Daphnia pulex: one gene and its partner. The protein of the gene in region 1 purifies or fractionates together with the protein of each later gene. This does not show direct contact. Links are inferred from orthologs where the notes say so. Each region holds a gene or a part of one and is shown in the gene's direction. Other genes may lie near its edges. The genes, in order: cytosolic iron-sulfur assembly component 2A-like and cytosolic iron-sulfur assembly component 3-like.

Evidence for each region.
Region 2: the proteins of cytosolic iron-sulfur assembly component 2A-like (region 1) and cytosolic iron-sulfur assembly component 3-like purify together in Homo sapiens (affinity purification with mass spectrometry; 4 studies listed by BioGRID and IntAct, with this or other methods). This does not show direct contact. The link is inferred for Daphnia pulex from reciprocal best matches to the Homo sapiens genes CIAO2A and CIAO3.

The regions. Positions count from the first base shown.
Region 1 is NC_060021.1:3,191,144-3,194,403, reverse strand, and holds cytosolic iron-sulfur assembly component 2A-like, read left to right. Parts: upstream 1-1,541; 5' UTR 1,542-1,730; coding exon 1,731-1,941; intron 1,942-2,002; coding exon 2,003-2,263; intron 2,264-2,337; coding exon 2,338-2,435; 3' UTR 2,436-2,752; downstream 2,753-3,260. Other genes in the region: maternal protein exuperantia-like, read right to left, coding at 2,826-3,119, 3,180-3,260. UniProt on the Homo sapiens protein: Component of the cytosolic iron-sulfur protein assembly (CIA) complex, a multiprotein complex that mediates the incorporation of iron-sulfur cluster into extramitochondrial Fe/S proteins.
Region 2 is NC_060024.1:1,853,258-1,857,185, forward strand, and holds cytosolic iron-sulfur assembly component 3-like, read left to right. Parts: upstream 1-1,481; 5' UTR 1,482-1,525; coding exon 1,526-1,633; intron 1,634-1,697; coding exon 1,698-1,802; intron 1,803-1,899; coding exon 1,900-1,961; intron 1,962-2,023; coding exon 2,024-2,223; intron 2,224-2,283; coding exon 2,284-2,436; intron 2,437-2,501; coding exon 2,502-3,116; intron 3,117-3,173; coding exon 3,174-3,409; 3' UTR 3,410-3,552; downstream 3,553-3,928. Other genes in the region: protein HBS1-like, read right to left, coding at 624-891, 952-1,043, 1,123-1,191, 1,258-1,300.

The DNA.
Region 1 (3,260 bases):
GGTAATGTGGGCACCCCATCACGGACTGCAGTGCTGGAAGGATGCCATGGCACTGCGTTACTCCACAGGCGAACGGGCCATCCCCAAAACACCTAACGTTTTCACCGATGAGGCTGCTAAGGCATTTGCCGATAATTCCGAAGTGCTAACCTTAGAAGAACTGGAACTAATGGAGCAAGAATCGTCCATTTACGGCTGTCCGCCAGCTTGGGGACTCGCCAGTTCTCATTGGCAATGTTATCTTCGAGTTCAGGCTCTTTTAGTGAACCAAAGAGTCGTCAGCCAAGTGAATAATGGGCCCTATTACTTCCATCTAATTAATTTGATTCGGTATGGCTGGGACTGCAACTCGTACCGAAAAGAACCCAGTCGTGCGTTCAACATTTGCTTGCTCATTATCGACCAGGCGAAATCGTTCAGCTCGACGGCATCTTCACCCAAATGTATTCACATTTTCGTCGAAACACTCGATCTGATGTCAAAGTGTTTCGAACGGATGCGAGAAGAGACCGCGGAGAGCCCAGAACGACGGGAATTGACTCCCGGTAATCTTCTGAAAGCTATTGGATGCTGCACCGTCATAGCCAATCTACTACCAGTTCCACTAATGAATGATAAGGATCACAATAGACTTCACAGAGTGAACATATGCGCCTACGATTTTGTTTCGCTGCTGTTCAAGAGTTTCCCCCGGTTAAACCAGGAAAAACACAAGCAACTTGAGGAATGCCTTTCTCAATTTATTCCCCTAGACGTTCACCGTGGATCGCACAGTCTTTTACATGCTGGAATTAATCGGTCCGTGTGGTTATACGAAAGCAATACCCAACGTTTGATTAAACTGTTCTTGAAAATGGGGGTCGATCCGAATGCCACGGATAGAAAAGGGAAAACTCCGCTTCATATTTTAGCCGAGAAATGGAACTGGACTCGATTCTCGACTTACTTGGACTCGGCCGACTTTCCTTCCGAGTCTCTGTCAAATGTTTTTCAATCACTAGTGGAAGCAGGTGGTCATCTCGACCAAGCCACACCAGAAGGCCATACAGTGATCGATTTTTTGGAAATTCAGCGAAAGAAACATTCCCTTCATGACTATTATTTTAATTCTTATCTGAACTCTCTGATCAATACCGTCTTGCCCCTGTCTTGTTACTGCGCTCAGTCCCTTCGTCAACACAAAATTCCACTTGGAAATCAACTTCCGCCTAGAGTGCATTCATTCATCCTTCGGCACAGCGCGCTTAAGCGCTGACTTCTGAATTTTCGCAATTTCTTTATTATTCAGTTCATGCCAATCTTTTTGTGTACCAGATGATTATTATATTTTTGTAAAATATAAATTCGTTTAGTGCACACATGAAAAGTACAGATTTCTACTTTGTTTCATTTCAAGTAACAAATGCGAACTCAAAGAGTCCAGTTAAAAAATCCGGAAATCTTGAATGATCTGCACTCGCACCAGTCAAAATCCCGCCAAAAGGTTTACCTATATTGTTGTACTTCAGTTCACTAGATGGCTCTTTTCATGTAAACAAAGTGACGTCTGATTAAAAAAAAGTGCAGTAGTTAACTCGTTCATCTGCTTCTTTCACTATTTTGGTTTGTCTTTTTCACTCTTGTACTTAATTGGAATTGTAGAAAGATAATTCAAACCACCATTTGCATAGCGTAAACTTGCATGTCCTATAAAGATTTAATTGGTTGCTGTACTTAATCAAAGTGTCGAAATGTTCCTCACGTCTTTTCTGAAAAAGATAAGTAGCAGTGAGAGCAAACCGCCTCCCGAAACAGTTAATAATGTGATATTAGAGAAGGCTGTAACCGTAAGTTCACCAGTGAACTTGCCAAGTTGGAAGGACAGATCAATTTGGACATCATCGTGCAGACAGGAACCAAATGTTCAGAATCAATGTCAAGAAATCAAAGAAATCATCACTGGTCTGTTTCGTCTTTATCATATTTCACCACAGGGTAAAACATTTATTGATTTTTATTTTAGACTTGCTGAGGACAATTAGAGACCCTGAAAAGCCCAACACGTTAGAAGACCTGTTGGTTATTACAGATGAATCTGTTCAAGTACAACCATTCGAGGAAAATGGTTACTTGGTTAGAATAGATTTCAATCCTACAGTTCCTCATTGTTCACTTGCAAGCCTTATTGGCCTCTGCCTGAGAGGCAAGATTCAGAAAAATGTGGTGGAAAGGATTAAATTGGACATAGTTATTGCAGAGGGGAAACACAGCACAGAAGAAGAGAGTAAGTCCTAATTCCATATTTAAATGTTCAAAAAAGCTTTCATTAAAATATTCTTTTACTTTATTCCCATCCAGTCAATAAACAAATCAACGACAAGGAAAGAGTCGCCGCCGCCTTAGAGAATCCCAACTTAAAAGAAATGGTCGATAGTTGCATAAGAGATGAAGAATAATAAGAATTTTGTTAAGAAAAAAAAATAAAAGACGATAAATTTCCTCAGAGTATTTTGTATTCCATTCCATGAGATCAACTCACAAGTATGAAAGGCACTGCAAAGGCACTGCAGAGACAATTTCATCGCACATATACACCCTGGATTGATTTTAGTAGAAGACTAGAAACAATTACCAAAAAGCTCCCTGGTATATATATAAATTTTGCAAGTGTTATCTCTGGTAAGAAGAAAAGCATAACCAAAAGCGACAAGCAAGTTTGTTTCGTGAAAGACTTGTAAACTTAAAAAAAGATCAAAATTTCTCAAAAACGAGACAAGTTAAGTGAAAAACAAAAGGGAAGTGGGGTTGGGAGGCAGTAAGTAATTTCAGGCGAGTCGAGGGACTTTTTAAACTTCGGACAGGACCGCAGGAGTGCTGGGAATAACATCCATAATCACTTTGACAGGGTCGTTGTTGTTTTCCTCGGGCTCGATCTTGGACGCAGGCTGCTGCTTCTCCAAGTCCGTGGCGGTGCATAGGGAACGAGTGCGGGGTGCTCGACGGCCGCTACCGCGTCGGACGGGCTTGTCTGGCTGCGCAAGGTGTTGATTCAGCAGCTTGATGACTTCCTCCACGTCAGCTTCATTCTTGCCTTTGATGTTCTCTTTGATGACCTCGACCACACCGTCATCTTTCTTGTCCTGCAAAAGAAATTTCAATTAGATTCTTCCGGTTAAGAATTGAAAAGAAGACAAACTCACCTTGAATGTTTCCGTAAGGCCTACATAGGTGATGCCCGACTCGACGAGCATATGGCGGAGGAATCCAGCTCGCCGACGAGG
Region 2 (3,928 bases), on another chromosome or scaffold:
CGTTCGGAACTTGACCGGGTAAAAATCGCAAGCGTGGAACATACCCTCCGCTTAAATTTTGGGGTTGCAAATTTACTCGCGCTAACTCAGATAAAGACGGGCGGACTACGCTCGATCCGACGCTTTTCGAGAGGTTTGGATTACCCAAGCTTATCTTAGCCAAATCAGCCAATTTTGGCTTGGCAGCAAGCGGATTGGTCACAGAAATGTTATTGGCTACTGGATTCGGCTTAAAAGACGACACTATACGATTAGGAGTCGATCGTTCCGCAGCTGGATTATTCTTCGATAAATGAAGTGTTGCAAGTTGGCTCAAGCTTATTTTATCAGTACTAATGCTAGGTGTAATATCTTACCTTAGTGAACAGCATTCAAAGGAAAACAGATGCAGCGTCATCACCAACATGTAGAATAACAAATGAAAAAAAAAGGAAACCATTAATTCTATGTAGGTTGATAAATAAATTCAAAACTGACTAATTAAATTGCTTAATTGCTTAAACAAAAAAATAAAATGCATATCTCAAATATTTGCTAGGGGAAATTGGTTTTCAAATGATACAGCTTTGAGTTGTTCAACACAGCATAAGACTTAACTATTTTGTGTATCATAATGTTTATACCTTGAATTGCAGGAACTGTTTTTTCTCTGATTGTTGGTTTTGAGACTTTTTTCAATGAAACAGGAAAAGAATTCCTTAACAGCTGGTCAAGCGCCTTTTCAGCATCAAAATTAGCTGCAAGAATTGCATTGATTCCTGCTTGTTCTGACAGTGCATCTCCCATCCTATCTCTAAGAAGATCCAGACATGAATACAATTGGGCCTGTTCCAATTCTCCTAATGGTGGTATTCTAGGTGGAGCACTAACACCAGCCCCATTTTTAGATTCCTTGTACAGAAAAATAATGTATAGTAGTTGTGAGAAAATGTAACAAAGAAAAATAAATACTTCTGGCGTCAACTCTTCTTCTTCTTCAGGAATGTCAGACTGAATGTAGGCAGACATCTGATGCTCTTGATTTCTATCGTAGAGGAAGTGTTCTGTACATGGCCGGACGTCAATGAGTCAAAACATTACAATTTCTCAATTAAACTAAAGCTTTCAATTCATGATAATTACGCATGCTCGGCGATGATGCAAAATCATCTTCAACAGAGTGGCCGTAGACATCATCATAACCATCGTACTCTACACAAAAAATTTTTGACATTATGAAAAAGATAAATGAAATTTGCATTACGTTTAGTTAATTACCTTCGTCATAATTCATAGTTCGAACGTTCCTATGCCTAGCCATTCTGTTATAATGAATAGTCCGGAAGTTAAGGAAATTAATAAAAGAAATTATTCAAATGAAATTAATTTTGTAAAGAAACGATTTCTAGTTTCTAGTTAAATGATCCAATCAACAGTGGGTTTCGAGGTTTCGACAAGTAAAGTGAAATTTCCCTTCCTCCGAAAGAAGGTAGTACTAAAAAGAGTACGGATGTAAAAACAGTTGACAAACGCCAGCCTTCTTTACATGTTTACAACAATAACAAAACACAAAACAACAAGTATGGCTACCAGTTCAAGATTCAGCAGTATTGTACAGCTGACAGACTTGGATGACTTCATCAATCCTTCTCAAGTATGCAAATTGAGATGACACAATTTTATTATTGTTGAACAAATGCTGAAATTTTTTTATTTAGGAATGCATTAAGCCTGCTAAGACAGCAAATGTAAAACAAGTTACTTCTGCTGGAAGTGCCAAAATCCAAATCGGCGACGATGGCATTTACACCCAAATCAATAAGGTACATGGGACAAGTAATATTTCACTTCAGGCTTATAGGGTTTATTATGTAAATATCCTTGGTATAAATATGTAATTTCTTTAAATGTTTCCTGTAGGAAGGACAACCAGAAAAGTTAGAGAAAGCACAGATTACTCTCAATGACTGTTTAGCTTGCAGGTGACTTTTCAGTTCATGCATTTTATTAAGACACAATTGTGTAACATTGTTAAATTTTACAGTGGATGCATAACATCTGCCGAGAGTGTGTTGATTGGCCAACAAAATCACACAGAATTCTTAAAGCTATGCAAAGAAATTCAGCTGTCTTCAGAAAGTAGAGTGTATGATAAGATTGTAGTGGGGCTTTCATCCCAGCCAATTCTTTCATTTGCAAACAAATTCCAAGTATCTCCCATAGAAGCAAGAGCTAAACTATCAGGTATATTTCCATCGTGTAAATGTTTGAAAACTCATTATTAATTCTGTTGAGTTATTAAAGCTCTTTTTAGGCAACTTGGTGCTGCAAAAGTGTTTGATGTTGAATCATTTGCAGATATGTGCCTAGTTGAGTGTGGACATGATTTTGTTCAAAGATTCAGAGAAAAGTCAACCAATGCTACATCAGTTCCAGTACTTGCTTCTGCTTGCCCTGGTATTGAAATGCTAATTTAATTTTCTTTCTTTACGTTTGTTGATTTGCTGCACGTTTGTTTTAAGGTTGGATATGTTACGCGGAGAAAACTCACGGAAGCTGGATCTTACCGCACATTAGTGAAGTTAAGTCTCCACAGCAAATAGCCGCTACATTTATCAAAGATTTACTTCCCAACGAACTTCAAACGGATGCTTCGCGTCTCGCCGTCGTCATGATAATGCCGTGTTTCGATAAAAAATTGGAAGCGTCTCGTAGCGATTTCCTTCGCGAGGATCAGCAAACCAAGGATGTTGATTTCGTTATAACTCCTGTCGAAATCGAGCAGATACTTGAGGAACTAGATGTTGAGTTCACCGACCTGGATTCATCTCACGTTGATCATTTGAGTAAAGCCGAGATTCCGACGTGGAATATACCATCTGGATCCGGCTCAGGAGGTTATGCAGAGCATGTGTTGCGATTTGCCGCCAAAGAGCTTTATGATGTGACCCTGGAACACATCACGTTCCAGCCAGTTAAAAATTCGGATATCAGAGAAGCATTCCTTGAAATGGATGGACAGCAGGTTCTTAGTGTGGCAATTTGCAACGGATTCCGAAATATTCAAAATCTAGTTCAAAAAATGAAGCGGAAGAAGCGTACGTATGACTATGTCGAAGTCATGGCCTGTCCATCTGGTAAGTTTTAAATTTGATACACAAAAAGAAAAATTCCTGACATATCAATTGCATTAGGTTGTCTAAATGGTGGAGCTCAATTGCGATTGGAATCTAATGAAACAAAGATACTTTTATCAAACCTAGAGATTCTCCATACGAAAATCGAAAAGCATGATATTGATGAGACGAAAGCTGATGATTTAAGTCATGCCTGGCTTGGAAAATCTTCGATTGAGGAACGATTGAAAAGGTTAAGAACCAACTACCACGCTGTGCAGAAGTCAACTAATGCTCTAACTGTTAAGTGGTAGAAGAAAACTACTTCTGGTGCAATGGGGTTTATTTGGAATGTTCATCATTCAATTTTGAAAATAAATATCACCGGCACTCTAAGTTACAAAAAAAAACTAGTTAAAATGTATCCAAATGATGAATTACACATTTTTCTATATTATATTTTTAAATCGTATGTATGTAATGTAATAGAGTATTTAAATGAATACTCTATTGATGTTAGTGCCAAATATTACTTATGGGTGGGCAATTTCGATAACCCTACATAAAATATTCCACACAGTAAAACCTCTATCACGTTAAAATAGTATATTAAAATGATACTTGAAAAAAATGTCGTTTGCAAATTAGACGTTAATATCATCATCCTCATGTTTGGCCAGCTCCAACCCCGTAGATAGGTGGTTGTTGCGTATATCATGATTATCTGGTAGTGTATACTAGTGCGCCATAGATAAAGAAGATGATATAAATTCCGGCTATTAGTCGTGATTTTCCACGGGATCTCTGTGCCAAATGATTATTTTATAATACGT